Linked DNA regions of Oreochromis niloticus. Each later gene encodes a partner of the first gene's protein in a complex. Links are inferred from orthologs where the notes say so. Each region holds a gene or a part of one and is shown in the gene's direction. Other genes may lie near its edges.

Region 1 (7,008 bases):
TGCAAATATTATCTCAGCACACATAGCTGCTACTGTGCTGAAATAGTTTGAACTTGCCTGTAATAAACTGTTCAGAGAACAAAAGAAGAAATATCTAACCACACGACAGATGCAGTTTCTTTCCATTTGTTGGTAAGATTAAATAATGTGTACACGCTATCATACTTTCATCTTAAGGTTATTGCATGTAAGACCAGATAAATGTTAGCTGTATGGAATAGCAGTTGGAATTTACACCACCCTTAGTAAATAATACATGTTGGTTCAAAGCAGGCCTTTGTGCAGCCTGAATCAACATTTGTAAAAAGATTATTCAAGCATTTAGAGTGTCTCACTGTTGCAACATTGCTTCATTTATGGCATGTGATGGAGTGCATGAAGTTTAAGATGTTAAAACAAATGATGCCCTGAGAGCAGTCTCGGTTCTTACCACCAGATCTTGCCTTAATACCTTTTTAAGTCTCATGTAAAGCTCATGACTCATAGCTGATCCAAAATTCAGGCCAAAGGTGTTTCCTTTAGAGCACAACTGAGTTGCCTTCAACACAGCTGCTTCAATCAAAATCTGTCACAGATCATCATTGTTACCATCTACTTCATGTAAGATTATGAAAGGTAGAACCGCCTGCTACGACGTGTTATGTGTTAAGAATGTTAAGAAGTTTCTATTATTATATTAAGGGTGTGTAACCAGTTTAATACCTGTTCACTAGATGTCAAGAGTCTATTCACAAATATAGGAAATCATTTATAAGTACACATCTGCCATCTGCTTCACTTAAGATTACATATACAAGTACATAGCACATGTACCTAAAATATGAGTTTAAGGCATGTGCCAATGAACATTTCTCACTTCACAGCCTTGATTTAAAAAACAGTGCTATTGGACTTCTATGGACGAATTTGTCATATTATTTCCAGCAAGGTGAACATATTTATATTTATATCTATCTATATATATCTATATATCTATATCTATATGTATGTATATATATACATATATGTGTGTGTGTGTGTGTGTGTGTGTGTGTGTGTGTGTGTGTGTGTGTGTGTGAATAATAACATTGCTGAGCAACACGGTGGCGCAGTGGCTAACATCTGTTGTTTCACAGCAAGAAAATCATATGTTTGGCCCCAAATTCCTTCCACAGTCCAGCAACATGAATTTGAGGTTAATTAGTTTATTGTTATTGATTGAAAAAAAATCACATTGCAGAATTTTTCATCAGTCATTAACAATAAAAAAGAACAGGAGCTGAATTGGAGTTAAATAAAAGTGCGCACAGTGATGTCAGGAAACTCATTGTTTAATTTCCTTAAAAATTATATTCAGTCAGCTCACTTTCACTTCTTGTTTTTCCGCTCCCCACCTTTTAATGACTTTACACTCTGTCAGTGAGTCCTGTAACTGTGCAAGTTTATGGTTATCTGTCTGTTTGTATCCAGGGTGTACCCTGTATCTCGCCCTGTGTCAGCTGCGATCAGCTGCGATCAGCTGCCATCTAAAGCGGTTAATAAAATTGGTTATTTTTATTGCTACATTCTAGATTTTTTAATGAATGAAGAGGTATTGATTTCTCTTCTAACCTCTTCTCACAACATGAGACACAAGTTATTTTGTACATCACTGAACATGATTGAAGGGGATCTTTAACTTCTTTTAAACATGTTATAAATGATTTAAAGAGCTGAAACAGGCTCTGTGAGCAGAAGTCTGTGTGCATCTGAACTGAAATAGTGAAGTCCAAGTTTTTGGAGACGGGAGCGTGGGGTTTAGGAGCTTGAAGAGTCTGGCACAGGGTGCTTGAGTGTTATACCCTCTACCAGATGGCACAAGGGTGGAAAGAGTCTGTAGCACATGGCAGTTGCACTACCAATCTGCTTTCTAACATTTTTTCTAAACTGTGCTTTTTGTTGTGTGTACCACAGTTTGAGACAGAGTTACATTCAATCAAGCCTGAAGAATGGAGGTCAAGGAGGACCAGAAATCACCACCTGGGAACAAGGTAAACAATGCCTCTTACCAGTAGATATTACACTGATGGGTTCTGACTGGGATCACCATTGCCAAATAATGTAGACTTTATTAGTCAGAATCTAATAAAGTCTTTTTTATTTGATTGTATAATTGTGAATTGTGCTGTGCTATGTTCCAGAGGTATTCTTCCTGTTTGGCCTTTATGATTATGATCGCAGTGGGTTCTTAGATGGCTTGGAGATGATGAAGCTCCTCTCAGATTTTTAACTCCCATCATATACCTGGAGCAGAGGCCAGTGAGCAGGTTAGCAGGAGCGACTGTATGTGTGTGTATTTGAACTGACAAGGTGTTGGCCTTTTTCCTTCACTCTGTGATATTTGTGTATGTTTGCATGTTGCTTTCAGGTGGTTTCTATGGTAGATTTCTTACTACAGACTCAGGATCTAAACCAGGATGGTCTGCTGGCTCTATCTGAGCTGCTCTCCCCTTCACTCACTCACACACAGGTACTGCAAATGTATTGGAAGTACTGTTAATACTGTTCAAGCTTGATGTAGTTTTATTCACACCTTTATTATATTTGGCTGCAAAAACAACACCTCATCATAACTTTCTACCTTAAAGGACCCAAGCAACAACAATGCACCTCAGCAGGAGCAGGAAGCAGTAGTGGAGGAACAGCTATCAAACGCTATTGCTAACGTGGACAGCGTCGGTGCAGTGGAGCAGAGAGAGGAACAGATTCGTGAAGAGATTCAGCTTCAAGAGGATGTACAAGGAAAGGAAGTTGAACCCATAAGGCAAATGGATGAATATGAGAGACATCAAATCCCAGAAGTCACAATAGAAGATCTGGGGCAGGACCACAATATCCCTGTACATCAGGGCCAACCAGAGATATAAAACACACACACATAAACACACTAGAGAAAACACCACTCTGTCATCTAGGCCTCAGTCTCTTATGTACTGTATGGGATAGCTTCTTAATCAGCATCCCCAAAAATGGTCCTCTTCTGGATCTGAGTTCTGAGTTTCTGCTAATGCACAATTCACTGGACTGTTAAACATGTAGATGGGTGGTCAAAAGGTCTTTCTGGTCAAAATATTTCTGCCACTGTATTGGGATGCTCAATGATTCCCAGAGCTTTTAATGGGTTAAAGGCAGAATGTAATATTAGTTGCAACAATAAAACAGAAGCCATGATTAAAAGAGACCTTTTAATTTTTTTTTTTTAAGTTGGAAAATGTGTTATTACTTTAATTGAATTTATTTACCATTTATTTACCATTTTCTGCCATGATTATTTAATGTATTTGTTTGCTTTATACCACCAGTTTATGAGCTACTGCATCATTTGACTGGATGTTACTTGGATGTGTCCTCCTCCCCAAATGTCAGTAGACACTGTGGATTCATGTACATGTGGATGGTGGACTTTCTGCACTTTTAGCTGTTTTTTATAATGTTTCAGATTCACAGTTGGTTCAGCTGAAATGAAAATTCGCTCTCCTTAATATTATGTCAGCAAGTAAAATGAGTACATATTGAATTCACTAGACAAGGAGTATGAAAGAAAATAATCTTTATGGTGGCCCCATTGAAATAAAATGAAAAGTAATGTAAAATGCTATCATTATCTACATACTTGAAATGTTTTTAGTGTGAAAGAGTGTACTATTTGTTAATTTTTTAAATTTTTTTTGCTAATTTTTTAAACCATTTTATGCATTTATAAGGCGGAAGAAAATAAATAAGAAACAAGTATTTCTCTGCTCTCTTTGTTTGTTTTCAGTCTGTCTTGTGTTTAAATGTGATACTTATAGATTATTTCATAGAAAATTAACAAAATCCTTGGGAAAAAACCTTTATAGTATGAAAACACATTTTCGTGGCTTCATTATATCAGGAACTTCTGAGGGGTCACGTTGTTGGAAGGCTTTTTTTTTAATCGAATGACTTCTTCAGCAAGACGGTGAGCTTTAAATAAAAAATAAATTAATTAATAATGTGTTATTAGTAGCTCTATGTAATTCGACAATAAAGGTTTTCTGGCGATTAAAAGATGGCAAACGTCAGAGGCGTTTAATTGGTCTCCTACCATACTGTTGCTGGGCAACAGAAAAGCGACCGGACAAACATGGCGGAGAACAGCAAAAGTGCAGGTTGGTAATAGTTACTTTCATTTTCAGTTTGTCTACAAATTGAACATCTTGAGACCACAGTGAAAGTTTCAGTCTAAAACTCTGTGCCGACCCGTCATAGTGGCTGATCTTTGATGAAAGTATTGTCATTATTTCCTCCAGAACTAAGCCAGCTAAGCTAATGCTTCACTATGTGTTCTTTATTTTGTCTGTCAGAGGCCACCGTGCTTAATACCAAGATCCTCAAGAAGCTCAAAGGCGCTTTTCAAGCCTTTGACACCAAGTCTGATAACACAGTGGATATCAAGTGGGTAAAACAAGACAAGCCATTTACTTTTATTACCGGAAAGATACTTAATAGGTACTATGAAGCTGATTACTATGAAGATCCAAAGGACCTTAAACGTTTTAACAAGTACACAAGATGCAGTCTTGTGAGAAAATCTTGAGCCAGCCCTCATTTCTTTGCATTTTGTTACCAAGGAGCCAGATTTTATTGTAATTTTTAGCAATAGCTCTTTCATTTTTGTTCCAGTGTTGCACCTTTTTTTTTTTTGCGACCCCACTTAACACTTACCTGTGAATCACTTTAGCATAAACAAGACACCTACCTCTGGGGACCAGAACCAGTGTTGTGTCAACACCAAAGAACTCAGCAATCTCAAAACAATTCAGCAAAGAACCTGTTTTAACGGTTACTGGTCACCTTCTATTAGCAGACTGTTGCAAAAACACATAATTTTTTCCCCATTTCTTTAGTTGAATCAGCAAAAAATTCCAAAGATAATACATTTGAAAGGCATAAAATAGTATTTTTGCACCAACAAGGTGATTCCCAAAGATTAATGAAGGGAAACAGAAAGAAAAGGATGAGGTATGCCAAATTACACAAAAACTGTTTTCACATAACCTTGCCATGAAAATACAGGGATCTTAGTTTTATTTTGAAAACAGAAGTGCCATGGAGGTTTTTGATGTTTTTGCAAGGACTGGGCCAAATATCGGTGGCAATCATAAGCAAAGTACAGCTGCATTTCAGTCAGTGGTGTTGGTGAATTTATTCAAAATTCCTGAAATTATGAATAAAGAAAAGTACTGACAGATTTTGATTCACCGTGGAATACCATCTGATTGGTAAGAGCTCCCATTTTTCATCAACGAGTCTGACCCCAAACACAGCCGATGCAGTAACAGCATACCTGGATACAAAAACACAAAATGAAACACTGTCTGCCTGGAGAACTATTCCTGAAGACTACAAAATTACAAGAACACTGACTTTCAAGAGAGTTAGAATTACACAGTGTCTGTATTTCCACTTATGAATGTACATGTTTCAATAAATGGCTGTAAGAAATATTCTTAAAATCTCACCAGAGCTTTGTGCAACCTGAGGAACTCTAATCAGCCACACAGATGAAAACATCTGGCAAACAAATGTGCATGTCCTTTCCCTTCAGCGACAGTGCAGCATGTTTTCTAAGCCAAGTGTGTGCTTTCTATGTAAAATTAAACTAAATGGTAGAGTAGAATATTTTTTAATTAGCATTATTAGAGGTCACAGCAGCTTTAATTCCTAGATATTTTTTTTACTAACTTATGCAGATGCAGAAAGGTCGAAACACAGCTGTTTATTTAAATCTGCTCTCAGTAGGTTTCCTGTCTGTAAGTTTTTGAATTTCTCACTGGAGGTTTTAAATAGAGTGGAAACTGCACACAAAGTGTCCTCCCTGCTAAGGTAACCAGACTGTATATCTTTTATACAGTCTGACAAACTAAACATGGGCTTGGACAGTTTAGGACATTTTGCTAACCTAAAATTGTTGGTCTGTCCAGGGAAAAACTAATTATTTAGGTTAGAGATTTGGCATTTAGTTTGACAAAAACAAATATAAAGTATTTGCGTTTCTAACTTCATTTCTACATAAATAACATGAGCCTGAAAGTCAAGTGGCCCAATCTCTGAGAGCTGACTACTCCTGGCTTCAGCCACACTTCCTTTTCTTTGTTTTATTTCCATCACATTTGCTGAGATCTACATAACCTGTGAGTTTCCCTGTTAGATATAGCATAGGTGTCCATCCTGCAGTGTGGACTTCTGAATATTAGAGGCAATAAAAATGTGGGACTCAAGTCTCAAGACATACAAAATGCTGTGTAGTTCAGATTACGCAGCTGTTTCCACTGGTAAATAGTTTGGTTGAAGTGGGTTATTTGGACGCTGGCTGTGAGAAATAAAGTTTGTGGTTTGTCTCAAGGCTTTCCACTGGCTGAGTGGGCTTTAGTAGGACATTGCGGTGAGATGGTTCATAGCACACAGGAATTAGTGAAACTAACTGAAACTGTCCTTTTAAATACTTTTAATGCACTTCTTGTTGTTGTTCTCTAGGGAGATTGGCACCATCTTCTATTCACTGGGTTTCTTTCCCACTCAGGCAGACCTACAGAAGTTCACATCTGAGGTCAGTATAGCATCCTCCCGTAGTCTGGTTCTATTTTGGAAGATCAGTAATGGGATGTGCAAACAGGGTTCTGACATTGTGCATTTCAGTAATGTTACAGAATCTCCTGTGCCATTATGTGACTGTTATAAAATCCTGGGTAACATTAGAAGCATTATTTTTGTTAGAAAATTCAAAGCAACCCCCAACAGCCTGTTCCTGTGCAACCAGGTGGAAGATGAGCGCTCAGGATATATCCACTGGGACAGATTCCTCCCAGCCATGACTAAAGTGCTACTGGAGGACAAGTAAGACAGTTCAGTTATATCATTGTATAAAGAAATTTCTGATTTCTGTGGATGAGAAGAAGGCTGAGATGCAAATAGGAGTTTGTTAAACCAAATTATCTATTATACAATGTATTTTTCTCTTATACTGAA
Region 2 (6,928 bases), on another chromosome or scaffold:
ATATTACACTATCATGATTAAAAAACTATACATGCACAACAAATAAAAACACCGTGATGATTTCACTGATAAAAATGATTTAATCTACCAAGCTGAGGCATGACTAGAGGAGAACTTAAAAAAGAGCCAGTAATACCAACAATGTGTCCCAATTCCATTAACCTTCTCCAGGCCTCCAAGCGCTTAGTGCTAACACTTGTACCCAACCCTCAGTGAAACAGAATTCATGCATGCGCTGGTACAAGGTCACAACTGCTGAATGCTCTATGTCAGCATCTGTTAAAGTTTCTGACTTAAAGTAAAACGCTGAACCGCTCCGAGCTAAATTACATGCCACTGATCTTTCTCTCTCTCTCTCAGGTGATTCTACACCTGGCATGATTATGTAGATTTTTCCACATCAACTTCAAGGTATTTTACAGGTCGAAGACAAGTTGGAGCTGGTTGAATTTTGGGGGATTTTCGCTGCAAACAGCCATTTTAAGTGCTTTCTTGCACATGTTGTCTTTAGTACAGCCAAGTGAGACAACCTCCCTCAAAGCTAGTAATAAGTAAGTAATAAGTATTGCCCAGCATAATGTGGTATTATGATCAGTGTCTATACTCTAAATAGAACCATGTTGTAGGCCAAGCAGCGATTATCGTCTTGCTACACTTGTTTAGTCATAAAAAGGCATAAAAAGAATGAAGGAGACAAACGAGCCGACTCTGTAAATGTTAAGTACCTTTCAACTATACACCTCCACACTGGCACACGGCGAACAATGTCTTGTTCGGATAAAACTGATTTTTTTTTAAAAAAATGACTGTCTTTGATTATGATGTGAAATTCAGGGTCTGATATCGGCTAAATCTTAAAATCTTACTAAAGGCATTCCCGTAGATAATACTTCTGATTTTACTTAAGTATTAGTTTACCTAATTAGCCAAAAGGATGTGGTGGTGCAACAACGGAGACAGAAACAGGATCTGATGTTAAACTTGTTTTAAAATAAACCTTTAATATTGACCGGGGCAGTCTATGGTGTCATCTCTTTACATCCCTAGCCGAGCCGGGCGGTAACACACTTTAGCTAAATTAAGAATACTGACGTTATGCATTGACAGTATAAATGCATGCCCCAACTGTAAAACCACTGCCTGATTAACAACTTGCCTATAAATAAATGATAATTATTTTTCCTTCTCCTCCAGAAAAAAAACAAAAAAAAACTCCATATCTTCATTATAAAAAAATAAAGTGATTTGAGCTCTTCATCCCGCTATCACTGAGCATTCAGTCAGCACAAAATTGATGTGACAACAGATAAACATCAGCCACTGTAACAGATATAGATCTTGATGAACAGGTACAGCAAGTAACAGGGAAATCAGCCTCTTGGTTTTGATCAAAATTTAACTTAGTTCTATGTGGGAGGTGTTTTCAAGGAGAAACTGCATTATAATTCTGCAGGTATGGTCAGTGGTATCTGTTGGTTTGTGGGTTCACTTTAGATAACGCTAAAAATATTTCTGCTGCTATTTTACGCAGTCCCGTGGAGTAAAATCACTTTTGGCACCTGTGGTATAGCTTTTGTTTGTTTGTTTGTTTTTTTGTTAAGGTAAGATATTACTTTATCTGGCTGTTTTTCTTCCAGTCAATGAGTTTCTATAAAGCCATATTAACATGGCAAAATAATCCCTTCTGTAAACTGCAAGAGCCAAACTGATAGGTGGCAGGTAGTTTAATGTGTGGCAGATCAGATCAGCAGCCTCTCCTTTCTTGTTTGGTCTGCATGAGACAAGCTTTCTACAGGAGCGTTGAACATTCACAGAAAACAAGGTGATAATAAAGATCAACGTTTCAGTGCCACTTGTGTTCTTGTCTGTGCTATTTGAGGCCCGACTAAGCAAAATACACTTAAATGTGTTAGCAGTTTTGCAAAGGCATCATAGTTTATAACTAAGCCGTCGCGTTGGAAGTTGAGAAACAAAAAAGCCGTGTGTGAATCTCACAGGAAACTGGGGGTCAAACTGTTGCAGGCTTTTTTTCCGAGAAGTAAAGCTGTGAGATGACTCTCCCCTGTTAAAGAGCATAGCTGGACACGTAAAATGCGTACTTTTCTTCTTCTCTAAACAATTTCTTACAATTTCCAAGGGTTGAGAGACAGCTGACTATAGATTTTCATAAACGAGCTACAGGAGACACTGTTGCAGTGCTGTGAGACCTTGTATTTTCAATTTCCTGCCACAAAGTCGTTAGATTCAGCCCTTATGTGGCATATTTAAAGAATACTAACTTCCTTGTTAGAGCTAAAGATTGTGATATACCTTAAAATATTTAGCCGTGGTCAAACAATGTAACGCTATGCACCGCGGTTTCACAACTAAAGGGTAGTTACCCGAAAGTGTTAACAACCCTGCCAAGTAATAAACTAAGCCTTTGTATGCCAGTTAATATTAAACTGCTACGAAAGTGGCGTGCCGCATGACGAACAAAACAAGAGTTCAGGTTAGCTATGAGCTAAAGTTAGCTAACCATGTCCTGTACCAGCCTGTTAGCTAACTTAGCAACAACAGACCTTCAGCAGGCGAAGATTAGCTAGCTTATCGCAAGTTAGCTACGGTTAGCTAGCAGTCGCCCTAGGCATCCGACGCGTAAGCAAACGTTAAGGGCTTAACGTTGACAAACCTTGTCCATTAGTTTCCAGCATTTCTCCACCGTCTTTTTGTCCACGGCCCCGGGCTGGTGATGGGAGTGAAGGTGGTGATGGTGTGGCTGGAAGGCATCCTTCATCATTCCGATGATCCCCCCGCCTTTCTTCAGGTTCCCAGCCATGTTCGGGCTCGGCCAGAGCGGCAGACAGGCGAGGTGAGGCAGGGCAGGGGTCAGGGGGACCGAACCGCCGCCTGGAGTTGGTTGGACCGGGCGATGGTGATCCCGTACCCCCTGTGAGGACAGCGCCCGAGCGGCGAATCCGAGCCAGGGTCCGACGGGGGTAAAATGAGGGAGGAAGAGATGACTATTGGATAAAGGCTCCCATCAGTAAACATAACATGATTATTTGGTAGATAAATGTCCAGACTGTGGATAAAACAAGCCCAACGGTCACTCACACCCTGCACAAGTTCCCCTCTGTGCTGCAGCTAGCAGGCTGCGTTGCTCAGCGTCTCCCTCTCTCTCTGCAGGGACCCACGCAGGCTAATTAACGGAGCACCAGACCTGGCTCCCCTCGCCCTCAGCTGGAGGACAATGGCAACCGTTTCTTCGCTGGACTCGTGCGTGTCCTCGCCTCTGTCCAAGCCGCGATGTCGTTCCTCTCTTTTGTCAGCAGCAGCTCTTTTCGGTTGTGCCGTGTCTTCAGGGGAAGTTCAGAGGCTCTGTGACACTGTCAGCACTCCTTTGCGGGCTGCGAGGCTGACGACACAAAGCGCTCACCGACGACCGAGGAGAGGAAGTTGAACTTAAAGCTGCGAAAGCCTCACGGTCATAGACGGGAACTAGGGTGAATAAATAATTATGGGATTTAAACATTGCCCAGCATTTTCTGTTTCCCCCCCGTGACGTGTATGTGCGGCCCTTTCCTTTCCTGTACGTCCCCTTCCGTTAACCCCCAACCCCTCCTTTCTCTCCCAGCTGCCCAAACCCTAAACTCTCCGCCTTCTTTTTAAAGCGCGTTCTCGATATACATGACCGAAACCGAGCACGCGCGTCTGCCTGTACAGCATTCATAAAATCTCCGAGAGATGCTGCTGAGTGCATCTCTGAGTTCTCCCAGCTCGGGCCTCGGTCACCCCTAGCAACAAAAGACGCTTTCACATATACTGAAGGCAGCTGGCGCTGTGCGCGTTCCCCAGTCATGTGTGTGACTGGCCGTTGTAAAAGTCACTCAACTATCAATTAAACCGGGCACTTTGTTTTATGGCTGCTCACTCAGCAACCAGTGCACAGCAACAGAGTCTCACCACCATACAGTAAGCGTAGGCCCTCTGTGTGTCGGTGGGTTGAACAGGCAGCCTTGCAGCAAGCAAGTATGGCTCCGAAGAAGAAGACAAAAAAGGCCGCAGAGAAAAATCCAGAAAAATGTAATCGAGATTCTTTTTTTCTTTTGTGACTGCAGATCTTTTATTTCATACACATATTTCTGTGTTGTTACAGGTCAAAATGACGTGGAAGAAAAGCGTAGGCACAGTATTCTGGATATAGCCATTCTGCAGGATCACATAGGTGAGCCTGCAGGTTTTATTCTTTTATAAATAATAAAAACAGACAGTATGATTTTTACATAAAGGGTCAAACTGAATATGACTCCACTCCTTGTCATGTCTGTTCCCTTTTAAATCCCTGATGTCCCATGTTATTGGGTTGTATATAGATTTTAAGTGAGTTATTAAGAGATCAGTCTTTTACCGCATAAAAAGATAGAAAATAGTGGAAAAAAACATATGTATATTGTGCTATTTGAACATTTTTTAAAAGCAATACAAGTGGAAATGAAAGCCCACATGTTAAAACTTGACTGCATATTTGGGCATGTTTACTAGATAATTTAGTTTGCATTAATACAAGTTTTGATAAGAGAGCCATTTCCATTTTTGCTTATGAAAACAACCAAACAAAAAACAAACAAAGCTCCCTCTGGTTTGTGCGTTCAATGCCTGCATGTGTTTGTGTGACTTCCTGCAGCCTTACAGTGTGAGGCTCTGAGAAGGGTCCAATCGGAGAGAGCTGATCTGAGGAGACGCGCGAGAGACATGGAACAGAAGCTGCAGCACGAGAGACAAGACCACAGGGACATCTACTGGGGTGGGTACAGACGGGGCACGAATCCAAAATTAGTCTGTCTTTTAATAACCTGAGCAAAGTGCGGATCCCTTTGGGAGTGAGGACAAGGGGCGTGTTTGCCGAGGTTAGGCTAATTTTTGAGGAACAAAAAATCTAATTAGCCGGGCGCTTAAGCTGATTGCTGTATTAGCTTTTCAAAGTGAATCAGCAGTGAACTCTGAAATAGCTGACGCAAATGTCATTCTAGACCTCAGTCGCCAGTACAAAACCATGCAGACCAAACTGACCAATAAGGTGAAGAAACTGGAACAGGAAGTCAGCCAGCTGAAGGAAGACCTTGGTATGGTCTATCTATATTTAAAGTATAATCAAACAAATGAAGCCATATAAGAATTTACTAAAAGGGTGTCTCGCCTCTCTGTATTTGTATAGCCCTATCCCAGGAGGAACTGACTAAAGAGAAAAGTGAGCGTAAGCAAGTGGAGCAGGAGAAGGATGCCATCATAGCAGACCTTCGACAAAAGCTGGACAACATAGAGTCAGACTATGAGAAGATCCTTCATGTGAGTTTCAACACAAGCCAGTTCAACCACACAGTGTGGCAACAATACGCATTTGAAAACCTACATGTATACAAAAACCTATTTGAGGTAACCTTTTGCACAATGTGGGGCAGCTTTGTCTTGTATGGTGCAGTTAGACCAACCCTCAGAGAACTTGATCTCAGTTAGTTCCGCCAAAGTCATGGGAAGGTACTAGCACTTCTACTTGTTGGTCAGGCCTGCAGATTATGTGTGACTCTTGAAAGAGCGGTGTGATGACACCAATTTCTTGAAAGTCAAGCTCCTGAATGTATGATTGCTTTGAGCAGATAATTCAGTCTAAAACGACAAACTAAGAAAACGCTAATAGAGCTGTCATGGATGTTTTATATGAATTCAGTGACTTCAAAATGATTCTTATGACATTATGATGACACTGATGAAAACTGTTGCAGTTTATGTCTAATAATGTTAGGTCAGAAATGTTAAAAAACTAGATGGAGTGTACAGTATACATGTGGTTTAATCTTCCCCCCATAAAATGACATTTGCAGACTTCCTGTGTATCCTTAACGACAAGTTTTGACACCTTAGTACATATCAATAAAGATGTCCTTTCATGACCATTAGAGTAGTTTTGGGGTTTTTCCAAGGGTAGCTGTACAGGCAGAGAATGCCCTCACTAACTTCTGATGCAGAGTGAGTATTTTTTGTCAATAAGCAGGCCTGAAATATGGTGCTTAGATCAGAAAAGTTAGTACTCCATTACAAACTTTGCAGCTTTGCGGAACGATCAGTGCACACAACACCAGAAATTATGCAATCAACACGACCCAGAAACTGCTGAAAAAAGAAGCCATAAATAGAGCTGTAGAAAAATATTCACCCTCTTCCTGATTTCTTATTTTTTGCATATTTGTGACACTTACATGTTTTAGAAAATCAGATTTTAATATTAGAGAAAAATAACCCGAGTATATACAAAATGCTGTTTTCAAATGATGCTTTTATTTATTAGAGTAAAAAAAAAATCAAACCTACTTGGCTCTGTGTTAAAAAAAGAAATTGCCTCCTGAAGCTAATAACGGGTCAGGCCACCTTTGGCAGCAAAAACTGCAATTGAGCGTTTGGAATAACTGGCAAACTGGAGGGATTTTGAGACACTCTTCTTTGCAGAATTGTTTTAATTCATCTATATTGGAGGGTTTATAAGTATGAGTGGTCTGTTTAAGGTTGTGCCAAAGCATCTCTGTTGGATTTAAGTCCAGATCTTGAGTAGGCCAATCCAAAAGCTTTATTTTGTTTTGTTTTTTAAAGTTATGATCCCGTTTGTGTACTTGTTGGTGTGTTTACGTATCATTGTCCTGAGGTGTTTAAGATTCAGGGCGTGAACTAATGGCTGGACATTCCCCTTCAGGATTTTCTGGTAGAGAGCAGAATTCATCGTTCCATCAACTACAGCAAGTCGTTCAGGTCCTGAAGCAGCAAAGCTGCTCCAAACCACGACACCACACAACCACGTTTGATTGTTGATATGTTCTTTTTATGAAATGCTGTGTTAGTTTTATGTCAGATGTAATAGGTAACCTCCAAAAAGTTAAGCTTTTGTCTCGTCAATCCA
Region 3 (7,527 bases), on another chromosome or scaffold:
ATGTTTGAGCTGATAAATGGTTGGTCCAGAGTCTCTATATTATTGCATAGTGCCTGTTCTACATCTAGCCAGGGCTATAAGGCGCACTTACAATCCTTTAATTTTCTCAAAAATCGACAGTGCCCCTTATGTATGAATTCTGGTTGTGCTTACTGACCTCAAACTGATTTTATGCGGCACACGGCGCTCAAAAGTCTGTCAAAAAATGTTTTAGTATGACTTTGCTAAGCTATGAAGCCGCACTGCTTAAAAGATTGCTGAAGCATTACGGCTACTGAAGTCAGGAGCCTTGTGGAGTAATCAGGGTCCTAAACTCCATCCTCTTCAGGTCCCAAAGTCAAACGAACACTGCGGCATCACTGAGAGTTAAAAACTGTCTTAATTCTTTCATCTTTAATAAAATGATCAGCGTTGCTGCTTTACCAGGTGTAACAATAAAGTTTAACATCCAGGCATCCATGAAAACAGAATTTATTAAATTTAATGGAGTTAGAAGTTAGCAGGAAGTTAGCTCGCTAGCTTCCAACTAAACATGATATAGCATGTTCTGACTGAGAGATTTCTGAAAAAACGCTCTTTAGTTCTGTCCACCAGTTCATAGGTCTTGGAGGTGGATATGTGAAGACTTACCAAAGTGACAGAAATGTAACATTCCAGCCTCCCCTTCAGTTTGCATATTGGGCGACTTAGATGATGTCACTAAAGAGTCCACATTCCTCTCACCACCCTATGCATTGCCAAGAAGACTGTCCACAAGAACTGGAAAAATAAAAATAATCCTAATTCTAACCAATACAGAGACAGTCTGATAGATCATATTAGTGTTGGTACAGCCTGTGCCACCACATTAGACCAATCTTTCTGGCCTGCTTTGATTGGCTCTATCAACTAGTGGGGCTGGGGGCTCCTGGTTTTGTCCCACCTATATATCATTGTAGGTGATGGAGTACGGACGGGGTACTCACTTGGGGTGTTTGGGGGTTCCCTGAGGGTTGGGTTTCTTGTCCGCTCGACCCAGGGGCTGTGGTCATGACCTGGATGGGGCTCTGGTGACTGTGAGCGGCAAGGCTGGGGGGCTCTGTGCCTGTGGACATAGATTAGCGACCTAGTAGCCATGCTGGTCCTGGGTTGGTCTAGGGTGGGCTTGGGGACTTGGGTTCTGGGGGTGTTCCACCTCTGGGTTTGAGTCCTGGTTGGTGTGTTGCTGAGGTTGTGGATGGGTGCATACACAGGGGCCCCGCCCTGGTGCTGGGGGCCTCTGGTGCATCGGTGAAACTGGGGGCCTCTTTAGCTGGCAGGAGGTTTTTAACATCCTTTGCAGGCGGTCTCTGCTCCTGAGGATTCCGCTCTGCAGGTATGTTAATCCCCCCCCCCCAATCTTTTCCTCCCCACCTCCATCCCAACTCCTCCCGCTTCATCACACCACCACACATACAGGACCCCTCCTGGCCACCTGTGCCTCAATTTTATTCCACAACTTAGACACTCACATTACTTACACTCTCATGACACATACATATAAGACCTTGGGAGTGGGCACACTGTCCAGAAGACAGTCTGTTTATACACTCTCACATCTGGTGCCAGTCCCCACCTCTCAATTTTAAATACATGTAGACATTGAGGGTTCTCGGGAGGGGCTTTGCTGACACCAGCTGTTGTCTGGCAGAAGGTAGTTGGCGCCAAGCCCCTCCCATGTTTTAACTACACTTTAGAATAGCACGCATCAAAACCACATATGAGCAGGCAGAGTGAGGTATGAAGTCTTCTCATATGCTGTACGTCGTCTGGGCCAGTGGGCTGGGAGGAGCTGGCCGTCTGTTTGGGGTCTGGGCTGGGGGGCTTCCCTGCTGCTGCAGGACCAGGGGCAGTCTGCTTGTCTCCACCGCAGAGTAAAGGGAACCATCTTCTGGGTCTGGGGCCGATTAGCAGTCTGGCGGTGATGGTGCCTGGACCTGGGGATACAGAGTATGTATGGGGGAGTGTGAGTGCGTGTACTGCGTTCAGTTCTGTGTGTCTCCATGTTGGGCGAATGTGTGAGTATTTGTAAATGTGTGCATGAGGGTGGGAATGCATGTTTGTGTGTGCTCCTGTTTGTCTATGTGTCTGTGTCAGGTCGGGTCTTAGACTCCACCTCTCTCAGAACATCTCAGGCCCACCCAGGTGTGGGGGCCTCTCTCCCTGGACCGCACTCCCTGCCAGTGGCTGGTGCCTTCACCCAACGGTGCATTTTTGGTTCTCAGTGTCCGGTACTGTGTCTCGGATGTGTACTGACTCACTGTTTGGTGGGCCTGGCCCCCTGGCTCTGTCAGACCCTTTCCGGGGTTTGGAGGGTGCTAAGGTCTCTGGGCCCAGGGCTCGGTCTGCGTAGCTCTGCCTAGCTAGCTGCAGGTGGGGCCTGCGGTCTTGTTGCTGCAGCCCCCTGTGGCTGCTGGGTGACTCCGGTCCGGGGCTCTCCTCAGCTTTTTTTTCAGGCAGGTGGCGTGATTGCCTTTCTGGTGGTCCTCCTTGGCCTCTCATGGTCTGGGGGGCCTCTGGATGTCTGGGGCCCTGATCTCCTTTATGGCTGCTTCATGTCCTGGGGGGTAGGGCTATGGCTCTCCACCACACACACTATTAGACAATTACACGGACAAACCTTATGAATACATAAGTGCGCTCACACACACACACTCACAGACTCTACTGCTGCTCCCCCTATGTTCCATGTTCATTATTAGTCCTGTATGCTACATCCTCTTCTAATCTTCTGTTCACTTTGACAATGCCTCGAGTAAATAACAATTAATCGTTATCTGCAAAGAATTTTATAGTCCTCTTCTTTTCTCCAGTTTCTTTCATGGCATGGCCATTACCCAATTTTAACATCCAATCACCTATTGTGCTGTGAAATCACCTGATGCGAGCCATATCTTGTTGTTCTCTTGCCCCTCACCTTATCTCTGTAGACAAAGTTACTTTATCACAGTAGTCACATTTATTCAACATAATTAACTTCAGTTTGCATAATTTCAACATTTCTTGTCATCTCAATTAGAAACACATTGTTTTTGTCACAAACTGGAAAGGTGAGTGAAGTTTGGACCCAAGGGCAGACTTAATTGCACAAACTATTTACAAGATTTATTTACAGGAGTAATCAACTTAAACAAGAGCACGTATATTAACAGAAACTATGAACAGGTGTCGTGGGAAACCAGGGGATGGAGAAAGGTTCTGGCACTCATAACACAAGGAGAGCATGGGCAGGAACTTCTGCAACAGAGGAGAGAAGTATCACTGGACTGGGAAACGAGTGAGCGGGTTGAACTCAGTAGTACTTGTGGAGGGTATGTGCTTACTTGTAGATGCAGGCCGGCTGGCATAGGAGGGGTAGCTGTGAGAGTGTCCAGGGGATGGCGGAGTATGCAGGTGAGATGGATCCAAGTTCCAAGGGGTCTAGAGGAAAGATATATCCACAATTGAGATGACGGGCAGGAGGGCAGGCCGAGGAGCAGGTGAGTGTGAAATCGTTTGTCTGCAGGTAGACTGGAGAACTGGGTGGAAGTGGGACCAGCGGTGCTGATAAGCACGACAGAAGATGGATCTGTAGAGAACTGGAGACGGAAAACACATTAATCCAAAAACAGCATGAATCACGAACACAAGGATGTCTGAGTTACCACCAATGGTAGCAGGACGAACTGGTGGAGAGTGGCAGGCAGCGGTGGTTTAAAAACCCTCCAGATGATGGTCCAGAAATTAGGAGAAGGTGATGTGCTGACAAAACGCCACCTCAGGGGACGAGCAACTGGAACTGGTCTCACACCCAATCAGACACTCCCACGGCACAGTTTCCCTTGATCATTCCATATACTTTTCATTTCTGATTACTTTCTCTAAGAATTTGCTTTTTCTTGTGTCTCTTTTTAACTCAGTATGTGAACTTTAGTATTTATCGATCACAGTTCAAAAGTTAGTTACTCAAAAATGACTTATTCTGTTTTTTTCAGCACAATAAGATCAAAAACTTTTCTGTTTCTCTGTCTTTTTGTCTGCTCCACATTCCTCACTCACAGGCACTTTGTAAGTTTTGATTAGATTTCAGATTTGATGATAAATTCAATTACAGCAGGAACATCTAACATCCAAAGCACATAGATTAAACTCTGTCACTCTCTGCTACATTACACCCACCAAAGCTGGGTTTTAGGCCTTTTCCTTCACCTCTGGTTGGAGCTGAGCCGAGGGATCTCAGTCTCGTTGACACTTTCAAAAAGTATGCAGGTTCAAAGGGCAATAGCTTCACTCTCCAGGCCTAGTACACCATCTATGGGCACACATGTTCATCTTCATAGTGTACTTTTATATAATTAAAGGGAGGATTCTGGAGGGGTATTTTCATGCGATACCTTGACTGGTCTGCCTCACTTCAGATCAAATTGGGCCAGGAAACAGAATAAATTTGGCATCCCTGTTTCAAAGCGCGTCTGAAGTGTGTTCTGTATGAATCCTATTAACTCCGAGGGTAAGTGAATGCAGCATACCTTCACGTCGTGACGTGTTGCTGTTACCATGGACATGAGGCAACGACAACGCTTACGAATGTGAAGCAGCTAAAAACAGTTAACGGAGCCCGGGTGAGTAAAAGTTTAACCAGTTTTCAAAGAGTTTGTTTAAGTGTCGCTCGCTTTAGTTTGATAGCACGTTAAAAAGCACGTTTTAAACGAGGTTAGTTACAGGTCTGTATGTGGGACAGCAGACGTGGTTACTACAGGGAACAAAAACTGAACTGAAATAGAAGTAGATGTGAAATTTAAAGAAATGAATAAAAAAAACTTAAAGTAAACTCATAAAATACTGAAAGTACTAAAACTGATATAAACTAAACTCTAAACGACATTTTAAAAAGAGAAAAAATGGAATACATGCATAACGGTTTGTGAGGAAGAGGACTCCCTTACTATGATTATTTATATTATCTGTATAGCATTGTGAGCACACCTTTCACTTTATTAAAAGCACCTTATCAAGCACTTTATTTAGCATCGCACTTTAAGCATGGATTTGCACAGTAAAACATTTGCACACAAGAAGTTTAATTATATTTATTGGGAATTTTAAAATCAGCTGGCAGCCTCGTTTCAGGTCCTACACAGGTCCTCAATCACCAAAGTGGATGGTTGCAGGAACCAACAGGTCCGTCGGGTTCTTGTCTCCCCAGAAACACTTCCCTTGTGCTTTTGGAAATCAGTTTTTTCCTATTTCTGTTGTGTTTTCGTTTTGTGTTTCGTTTTGTGTGCTTTTGCAGCGTTTTTCTTATTGCTGGTGTTTTCTTAAGTTGCAGTCTGTTTGGCCTCTCAGGGCCACCGTAGTATTGTATTCAAAGTTTTCTTACATTTTGAATGGTAGATGAGGTGTTATCCAGCTCAATACACACTACTTATTTCTAGAGCAGAAATCTGAGATTTAAAAGTTGTGTTTAAGTTTGTTGACAGTGTCAGATAGTCAGATGTTTTTACTGAAGAATTTTCAGCCTCATTTTTTTGAACCAATAAGAAAATACTGACAACAAGATCTAATTTGATTGTATTATTTTATTTAGTAAAATTGTCTACATGTGTGTGCTTTTCTGATGTTTTTCCGTGTGTGTGTTTATGTGTAAACTTCAGGCGCACATAAACACAATTAACCTTAATCCAGTAGGATCGCCAGAGGAGCACAGCACTGATGGAGATGGAGGACGTTTCTGCTTCTGAGAAGCTTCTGTAAGTTTTTTTACACTCATAGACAAACTACATACACACAGGGATGAAGAAAATACACGAAAAGAAAAAAGTTCGTTGTTACCAACTCTACAAAACGCCTTTAAAAGACATTAAAGACAGACAAGACTGTCACAGAGGTTCTGCAGGAGGTTTCTTCCTGTTAAAAGGGAGTTTTTCCTTCCCACTGTCACCAAAGCATTTGCTCACAGAGAGTCATGTGATTGTTGGGTTTTCTCTGTTTCTCTTGATTATCCCTTTAAAACCTGTAACATGAAATAATTGACAGAAAAATCAATCTTATTTAAAATGGAGGCTTTATTTTTGTTTGAAAAAGTAATTAAATTTTAATTTCCATGTATGATTTTTCATTTGCATTTTATTTTCTACATCTGTCCTTGTTTTAAAAATTGCTTTAAAATCTATTCTACAATTTATTTAGATTTTTCTGAGGGAAAAAGTCCCACTGATGATGTAGAAGCTCAAAAAGCATTGTAGGGTAAAGCTGGTGGCTTTGAGGTCATCTTCACGTCTTCACCTGTTCTCCTTCTTCAGCCCCGAGTCCTACAGGAGCAACTCTCCAGAAGAGATTCGACTGTTAGCCATCGCAGAAAACTTCCAGCGTCAGTACTCGCACTTGTGTCCTGACCGCAAACCGCTGCTGCTCTGTCCTGTAAACGAATGTGGAGTAAAGGTAGGTTTATCTCACTCAACCTTTTTCTCTCTGAAGAACAGATCCCATTGGACCTTCACATCTGCAAACACCCTAAATACTTTCTGCATCGCCGTCTGTCTCTTCTCATATTCAGAAGTTTGTGTCGACGTCTCTTCGTCCAACGTCGACCATCCACTGTGAACTGTTCGAGTGGCAGGGCTGTGCCTCTTTTGTGGCCGACTTCCTGTCGTTGGTCCCTCTGGATCCGCCCGTGGAGCTGGTCAGAAAGGAAACAGCAGACAAATGTTTATTTGAGTCTTAGGAGCAAACAAAGTATTTTTTGTAATCAGTGGTTGAGAGTTAAAGCATATGTTAGAGAGAACTTCTTTTATTCTGCTGTTTCTGTTTTGTGAAACCATAATTTTCATAATTCAGATAATTATTGCATATAATGTAATTCTAATATAAGAAATGCTCGTGTTTAGCTGCACATTAACTGCGTGTCATCCTGTCGTGTCTGTATGCAGTATTTTCAAACCTCACATGACCAACAACTGTATATATTATTCTATTCTATTTTATTCTATTGTATATAGTATTTTATTTTATTTTATTTTATTGTATTTTATTGCATTCCAGTGTTTTCTAATTTCTGCTACATAACTTTGCACTTTTGCTGTAACAAAACAAATTTCCCACCTGTGGGACTAATAAAGGCCATCTTATCTTATCTTATCTTATCTTAACTGATGATGTCACACTCAGAGATGATGTGAAAATGTGTTTCTGAGAAGCTGATATATATATATACAGTCATTGTCCCGAACATGTTTCAGCTTTTCAAGATGGTGGATGAGAAAAGAAACAAGACTGCAGCACATAATCACATTCACATCAATAAATACACACATGCGTGCACCTTCTCTCGGTGTGTCTGATTGTGGCGGTGTGCGTCTCTCCCGTTGCAGCCAAAGGTCCTTTCCTCTCCCAACGCGGTGCTGCAGAGTCAGAAAGCCACGTGTTTTGAGTATGCCACTCTGCTGTGCAGCCTGCTGCTCGGCGAAGACTACGACGCCTACTGCGTCAGCGGCTACGCCGTCAAAGAGATGTGTCTGCTCAATCAGAGCC
Region 4 (6,931 bases), on another chromosome or scaffold:
AAGTGGTTTAGGTTAGCAGTCTGCTTTGGAGTCTTTATTGTTACTTTGTAAAAGATGAAGGGTTTTTTAAATTTTAGCTGCAAAAAGAACATTTTCATTTTGTGACGTGTGTGAGAATTTTATTTTATTTTTAAAAATTTTCTAAACTCATTTATATTAAACTGCAACAATGGAAGCAGCTCATTCACTCTCTTGTTGAGCTGACTGCAGAACAGAAAAAAAAAAAATCAATCCTGCAGTAATTATGGTCTAATGCCATGCAAAATTATTGTTCACCTAATCCACTCACAAAGGGCTTTGATTTTAAAAATGACTGTGAGAATAATTCTGTTGTAAACGTGATGGTTTATGAGGAGGAAATTAAAATGATTTTGTGAAATGACTCATATTCTGATCTTGACTGCTTGGTCCAGTTCTTTTCTGGATTAAAGTCCAAAAAATGAACCGAGGTAGGATGAAAAACATTAATGCCAGCGGTGACTTTTAGGTGTATTTACACAGAAATAAACAATTGTGCATTATAAGAAGTTATATCTTTTTATGGTTTATCTTTTTTTAATTAACTTTTATTTATGTATTTTTCCAACGGTCCTAAATGTAAAGAGTCATTAGCGTTGTTCAAGGAATATCTAATTAGCCTGTAATCACTGTTATTTCAGAGTAAAAGCATAGAGGTTTGATCTTATAGCTGTGTAATGGAAACCATGAATTTTTATTCTGAAATAGAGTTTGAATTTTTAAATAACTGTAACATTTTATAAATTTTGCTAATATCAGCATGTTCACAATAATCTGACACCATAGAGTGACTGACTTTTTTTTAATGGACTCTCATTATTACTGTATTTCTTTATCTTGCGTTCTCAGCTTGAATCGACAAGTGTTGATGCGTAAAAATTATGACATAAAGCTAAAAACAAAAACAAAATTAGCTAAAGAGCAAGATAGTAAGTAGCATTTATTACACAAACTATAATACAATAAACATGTAGCATGTTAAAAGAAATTGCATTTGTTTACCTGCTGCAGCCCCTTTGCCTCTCTGCATGCCTGCTTTTGTGTTTGCTCTCCCGTCTTTTAATGTTCAAAGGCTGAAATTGTGCAGTTAAAGAAGTAGAAACAAAAGATTTGTTGGGGGAAATTACTGGGCACTTGTTTGCAGTGCATGCTGCACACATGGCAAAAACATACTTCCTTTTGCACAAGTTACCTTGAGACAAGGCCAGTACATTTCATGTTTGAACAGTAAGGGGGATGCTCTTCATGTTGTTTGTGAATCTGGCCTTCTGTTTTCATTTATTAAATCTCATTTTTGTCCAATTTTTTTTTGACTAGTTTGCTGTTCTTTGACAAGGTCATGGCCTTTTTGGAGCTAAGCATTGTTGTATTTCTTAAAAAATGTTTTTTTTTTACTGTATTCTACAATCATCCTCCCCTCTTTTGTATTCTGTCCCATGCTGCAAAACAGTGAATGTCTCCATCGTTATGGCAATATTAAGACACTCTTAGTTAGGACTTAAAATGTTATGCAACCCCCACCACACCAACACTCTAAGCTGTCAGTTAGTTAACTGGCTGAAGGTCAAGCTTAGATTATGCCCCTGGGTAATGAATATGACGCTTTGTTGAACAAGAAGTAAACATATGCCCCTGGGGGTAGGAATTAACGGGCACACACACCCTCACACACACTCTTTTACCAAGCATATGTAGAGTGAATGGGGCTTATTATACACCTGCAAGTGGGGTCAAAGTCTGTCAATCCCTAGCTTATGGTATTATGATAGATTTTAGAATCACTCTCTAATGGCAGTCATTCAGTTTGTAATCTCAGCAGCTTGATGCAAAAGCACTCAACGTTCCAGCTAAGGGTCTGTTGAAAATAAGGCCTTCTCCTCCTCATTCATTCCTCACTTCCCTCTTTCCCAAAGGTCTTATGACAAGTCAGCTGTTAGTGACATCACAGATGCAGGATCATATGTCAGAAACCTTTGCTGCCTGACTTACATCCCTTGCAACCATGGCCACTTGAAGCCAAAAGAGCGGCGAGGGGCCCCGGGGGGTGGAGGCAGGGGCACTCTTCAGAGCAAGAACATCTGACCCGTGCGTGAGTTTGTTTGTGTGGGCAACCAGACTGTGCGCATCTTGCCATCAGCTTGAGAAGACATCTATCGTGTGCATGTGTGTGTGCATGTGTGTGTGAATTAGAAGTCCAGGTTCTGTGTATGTGAGTATCTGGGTTATGCTGATCAGGGGGCATGACAATTAGTGAGGCATGGCTCTTGTGAAAAAATATTCAGAAATACTTGTTTGTGAAACTTCAAGTCAAGTTTTGAACACAAGGTAGTAGCTCCACCTAAAGTCAGCTGTGCAAATTACACTAAAGTTTATTATGTGAAAATATTATTTAAATTCTTTTTTTTTTTTTTTTTTTTTTAGAAAAGAAATTAATCCTAAAAAACATTTAAGACACCACTTAATACACACACAAAAACCTCGTTAGGTCTCATGTTGATTAAAAATTTCACTTTTACAATTGTCTGCTTGTTGTGTCTCTAGCACTGTTCTGCTGAGCATGTGCCACAACTGCATAAAAATAATAGTTTTTGACTGCCTGTAACGCGTCACTGGGGAAAATAATCTTATGTCGTAATCTGTTTTATGAACCTACAATGAAACTTGGAAGATTATGATGTCACATTTCTTAGAAATGGCCCTGTTAGGGAGAGATCATTGCCACTATCTGCACACTGTCCTACAGTATGGAAGTTGTTCTCACCCCCAAAATGATCTGGACCAAGTGTGTCTAACATCAGGCCAATCAAAGACTCCAATCTGGCCCACTGGAAAATGTGAAAAATGTTGCAGATTGTGAAGTTCTTACTATAAGTTTAAATTTTGTTTTTACAGCTTTTCCTACTAATAAAGACTTCCCCTGTGGTCTTTCATACTACACCATAATAAATAAGTAATAGATAAATATTTAAATGACAGAAATGTTCCTGCTTTTTCCCTATCTGGTGTAGAATCTCTCTTTTTTATAGAGGAAAAAAGGCATTTTCTTTAAAAACAAAAAGTTAGTTCTGTTATTTCAGGACAGTCTGGTCAATGAGCTGTCTAAACTTTTCCTGTTTTTAAGTATATCTGTTTATTACATTTTAAGCCCCAAATCATGCTGACAGATTTCCTCCATTTCTTCATCACATAGAAAAAGGGAAATGTACTGTATTGAAGTTCTTTTTTTCTTAATTGAAGATATTTGAGGGATTTAATGTTTAGTTAAACTTCTTTACACTGACAGAAAGGGGAGTTTCGCTTGAGGTCAAAGTGAGCTGTTAAATGAGTTCCTGATCTAGAGCGGTTGAAACCCGATGATGCCGCTAGATGGCAGCACCGAGCCATGTAAAATTTAACAGCATCATAAAAGCTACTCCCCCGGTAGAGTCGCATTTTAAAAGCCCTAAACACAAGGAAAGGGAGTAAGAGAGCTTAATAAATAGAAGCAATCTCTAAACATGAACAGTCATTAGTAGCAGATAGAAGCACAGAATGAAAACAACAACAAAGCCGGCAGACTGTGCTTTATTAATAAATGAAGGGATTATATTAGAGACACTTGAAACTGTTAACGTCATCATTAGTCTTTCAATGATAAAGGAAGAAATATTCTGATAGGAAATATAAGTGCAATAAGTTGTGAAGAGAAAATGAAACAAGTTGTCACAGGCCTCTGCACAAACTAAGTGCAACCAATGATTCAGTAGCTTGTAGAACAACCCTCAGCAATGACACTTAAAAAGACACTGAAATAACGACTGCCACTGTTTTATGTTTGAGGAAAACACGAGCACGTTTCCTCTAAAAAACAAACAAACAAAAAAAAGGACTTCGAATTAACGAGGGAACCTGAAAGCAGCTCCGTCGCCAAAGCAACGCTTACCAAACAGACTCTACAGGGCTGCTGCGGACGATTTTAACCGTGCAACGTTTAATTACTTTCAGTATTTTTTACAACATCGTCCAACAATTAATTACTTTTCAGTATTTTTTGCAACATCGTCCAACAATGGAAGAAGCTGACAAAGTGCATGAAGAGGCGCCCGAACCTCCTGTGTTGTCCGACAATCAAGAGGATAAGAAGGGGTAACCTGCAGCTTACTGTGGCTAAACACTGCGATAGACTGGACAACGACAACTACCCTGATAGAGGCGTTGCATGTTGTGTGTGTGTGTTTTAAATCTGACCGTTTAATAAATACGATGAACTCAGGAAAATTAGGTCGAGATAATGGCCTCTGTCACTTTGCAGTTTGGCCCATTTTTGTTGATACCTTGCTCATTTGAGTTGAACGCTGCTCATGTAAAAAAGAAAAGTGGAACAATGAATGTTTTAACAGCTGTAAAAGCCTCACAGTTATATTTTATTACATCAGTTGAACACAGATATATAAAAAATAACCTCTGATAATCAAAAGACCACAGTTACATGTCGTAAATCTTTTCTTAGTGTCCCAGGTGATTAAGTAAAACGTTGTCCAGTTGACCTGATATCACTCTACAGATGGTAACTATATTGTATGTTTATAGGGCCTCCAGTTTTAAGGGAAAGGAAGACCCCACTGAGGAGGGGAATGAGGAGTTGAAGACCAAAATGCAAGAAGAAAAGAAGGACGTTAATAAGGTTGATTTTTTCATGTTTCCCTATCACCTACCTCTGCAGGTTAATGAAATCATTGAAATGTATATGTTTATTGGCATTCAAGGGTGATTCAGAATGTCCATTTTTTTTGCATTTATTTTAAAATTGGTTTAGTTTATTTAACGCCGAGGAGTGGATATAAGATGAAACTATAAAAATGCCAGGAACAATATCAACAAGACACTCACTACTTTGGTAAACCCAATAATATTACAATCTACAAAAATATGTTTAAGAAAAAAGATTTGCATTGAAAATTATCAACTAGGTGACTTTCAACTAAATGTATGTTGAGGTATTTGTGCTAAAGTATGTATGTGCTGGTGATCAGTCATCCAGCTCATGGTAGAAGGCATCTGGACTTCTTTTGGGTTTGTGAAGAAATTTCAGATTTCACCTCTCATCCACGAGATCTCTTTAGTTCTAAAAACCTGATGGAGACTGACAGACAATTAAACCCTTTTCGTGTTGTCCCCCTGGAGTGTAATCACGTGAGTCCGTAAGAGTCACACGAACCTAGGTGTGAACATGGTGTGAATCCTGTCACATGATGTTCAGTTCAATTCAATTAAATTCAAGATGTGAATCTTTTGTAAGACATTAGCTCATCCTGCTTTAAGATATTATACTGTAGCCTTGAGAGACCTTCCCAGGCAATTTAACCTTCACTAACACCTCATCCTCTATAATGAGATCCATGCCTCGTTCACACCTTGGCTCGTGTGACTCTTAATGACTTGCATGATTGCAAGGTGGTTCGAGGACTCTCAGGACACCAACAGGAGGACAATGTCATTAGGGGTTAAATACCGGCGGCTTGACACCAGTTTTTAGAACTGAAGAGACTTCATGGCTGAGAGGTGAGAAGTTGTCACAAAACAAAAAAGTTGCCTTCATTTTAAGGCAGGGCAGCTTAGGGTAAATTTACATTTCACTCCAAATAAGCTTTGCAAGGCAAGAGTGCTAACAGGACTGGAAAGAGGGATCAAATTTCTCTCATATCAAGTTCTCTTCATTGGTTCCCAGAATTTAAGTAATTCTTTCTTTTCAGTTTTGAATAGCGATATCTTACCCATCATATCTTAAAGACCCTATAGTACCATAATATATAGGCTAACCTGTGGCTTCTAGAGCTTCTAAAACTAGAATCAGAGCCACAGCCTTCAACTATCAGGACACTGTACTGTGGATCTCGCTCACCGTTTGGATTAAGGACATAAACATCAGTTGATGAAACTAAACTACGAAGAGAGGTGATGATCAGTCAGCAGCGGAGAAAGATCTCTACAGATCATGACAGTGTTGATGGAAAAATATAGAGAAGGTCAGAAGGAGCTTCAGTGTGTCTTTGTGGATCTAAAGAAAGCATCTGATGGGGTGCCAAGAGGGGAACTGTGCCACTGCATGAGGAAGTCAGGAGTGGCAGAGAAGTATGTGAGGGAGGTGGAAGACATGTACAGCGAGACAGTGGTGAGGTGTGGAGTAGGAGTGACACGTGGGTTCAAAGTGGATCAGCTCTAAGCCCCATCTTATTAGCAGTGATGATGGACAGGTTGACTAATGAGGTTAGGCAGGAGCTTCTGTGAACCATGATGTTTGCAGACAATATTCTGATCTGTAGTGAGAGCAGAAGGTGAAAGAGAGGAGCGATGGAAGTATGCAGTGGAAAGAAGAGGAGTGAAGGTCAGTAGAAACAAGCCAGAATACAAGCGTCTGAATGAGAGGGACACAGGTGGAAAGGTGAACATGCAAAGAGTAGAGATAGTGAAGGTATATGAGTTTAAATACCCGGGGTCATCCATCCAAAGGAACAGACATTATATCAGAGGGTTAGGTCATGATTTTGTGTTTTTGACTCTTATTTTGCATTGTGATTGCTATGTTGGAGTGAAATAATTAAATCCATTAAAGCGACTGGCCAAAGCAGAGGCAGCATTGTAATATCCACTAAAACAGATCTTTATAACTGAAACTGAAAACAAAACTGAAGTTATTGCAAAAGATGAAGTCCAATCAGTAAATGGACACTACCACAATCAGATGTAGCTTTCATAAATTCTTATGAGATGTATTTATTTTAATTTGTCCCACTTTCACTGCCCAGAGGATAATGAGCCTGCAGAAACGTCTGACCACATTAGTGACCAACATTCAAACTGCAGCCGACGCCAAAGAGATGGAGCGAAGGTCAGGGATGGAGGACAACTGCAGAATTAGGTCTGTCTTTTAAAT

The links.
Region 2: drc8 (region 1) and drc12 share a complex: the UniProt entries of both Homo sapiens proteins name them as parts of the nexin-dynein regulatory complex. The link is inferred for Oreochromis niloticus from reciprocal best matches to the Homo sapiens genes DRC8 and DRC12.
Region 3: drc8 (region 1) and ccdc135 share a complex: the UniProt entries of both Homo sapiens proteins name them as parts of the nexin-dynein regulatory complex. The link is inferred for Oreochromis niloticus from reciprocal best matches to the Homo sapiens genes DRC8 and DRC7.
Region 4: drc8 (region 1) and drc1 share a complex: the UniProt entries of both Homo sapiens proteins name them as parts of the nexin-dynein regulatory complex. The link is inferred for Oreochromis niloticus from reciprocal best matches to the Homo sapiens genes DRC8 and DRC1.

The regions. Positions count from the first base shown.
Region 1 is NC_031965.2:25,793,002-25,800,009, forward strand, and holds the start of drc8 (dynein regulatory complex protein 8), read left to right. Parts: upstream 1-3,983; 5' UTR 3,984-4,123; coding exon 4,124-4,148; intron 4,149-4,343; coding exon 4,344-4,434; intron 4,435-6,516; coding exon 6,517-6,589; intron 6,590-6,799; coding exon 6,800-6,876; intron 6,877-7,008. Other genes in the region: cgref1 (cell growth regulator with EF hand domain protein 1), read left to right, coding at 1,933-2,009, 2,160-2,248. UniProt on the Homo sapiens protein: Component of the nexin-dynein regulatory complex (N-DRC), a key regulator of ciliary/flagellar motility which maintains the alignment and integrity of the distal axoneme and regulates microtubule sliding in motile axonemes.
Region 2 is NC_031979.2:20,322,938-20,329,865, forward strand, and holds the start of drc12 (dynein regulatory complex protein 12), read left to right. Parts: upstream 1-3,928; 5' UTR 3,929-4,013; coding exon 4,014-4,065; intron 4,066-4,138; coding exon 4,139-4,207; intron 4,208-4,666; coding exon 4,667-4,786; intron 4,787-5,012; coding exon 5,013-5,105; intron 5,106-5,197; coding exon 5,198-5,328; intron 5,329-6,928. UniProt on the Homo sapiens protein: Component of the nexin-dynein regulatory complex (N-DRC), a key regulator of ciliary/flagellar motility which maintains the alignment and integrity of the distal axoneme and regulates microtubule sliding in motile axonemes.
Region 3 is NC_031984.2:2,435,234-2,442,760, reverse strand, and holds the start of ccdc135 (dynein regulatory complex subunit 7), read left to right. Parts: upstream 1-4,521; 5' UTR 4,522-4,619; intron 4,620-5,685; 5' UTR 5,686-5,709; coding exon 5,710-5,747; intron 5,748-6,299; coding exon 6,300-6,438; intron 6,439-6,553; coding exon 6,554-6,679; intron 6,680-7,367; coding exon 7,368-7,527. UniProt on the Homo sapiens protein: Component of the nexin-dynein regulatory complex (N-DRC) a key regulator of ciliary/flagellar motility which maintains the alignment and integrity of the distal axoneme and regulates microtubule sliding in motile axonemes.
Region 4 is NC_031980.2:12,171,770-12,178,700, forward strand, and holds the start of drc1 (dynein regulatory complex protein 1), read left to right. Parts: upstream 1-3,912; 5' UTR 3,913-4,066; coding exon 4,067-4,143; intron 4,144-4,587; coding exon 4,588-4,681; intron 4,682-5,457; exon of another isoform or gene 5,458-5,559; intron 5,560-6,803; coding exon 6,804-6,916; intron 6,917-6,931. UniProt on the Homo sapiens protein: Component of the nexin-dynein regulatory complex (N-DRC) a key regulator of ciliary/flagellar motility which maintains the alignment and integrity of the distal axoneme and regulates microtubule sliding in motile axonemes.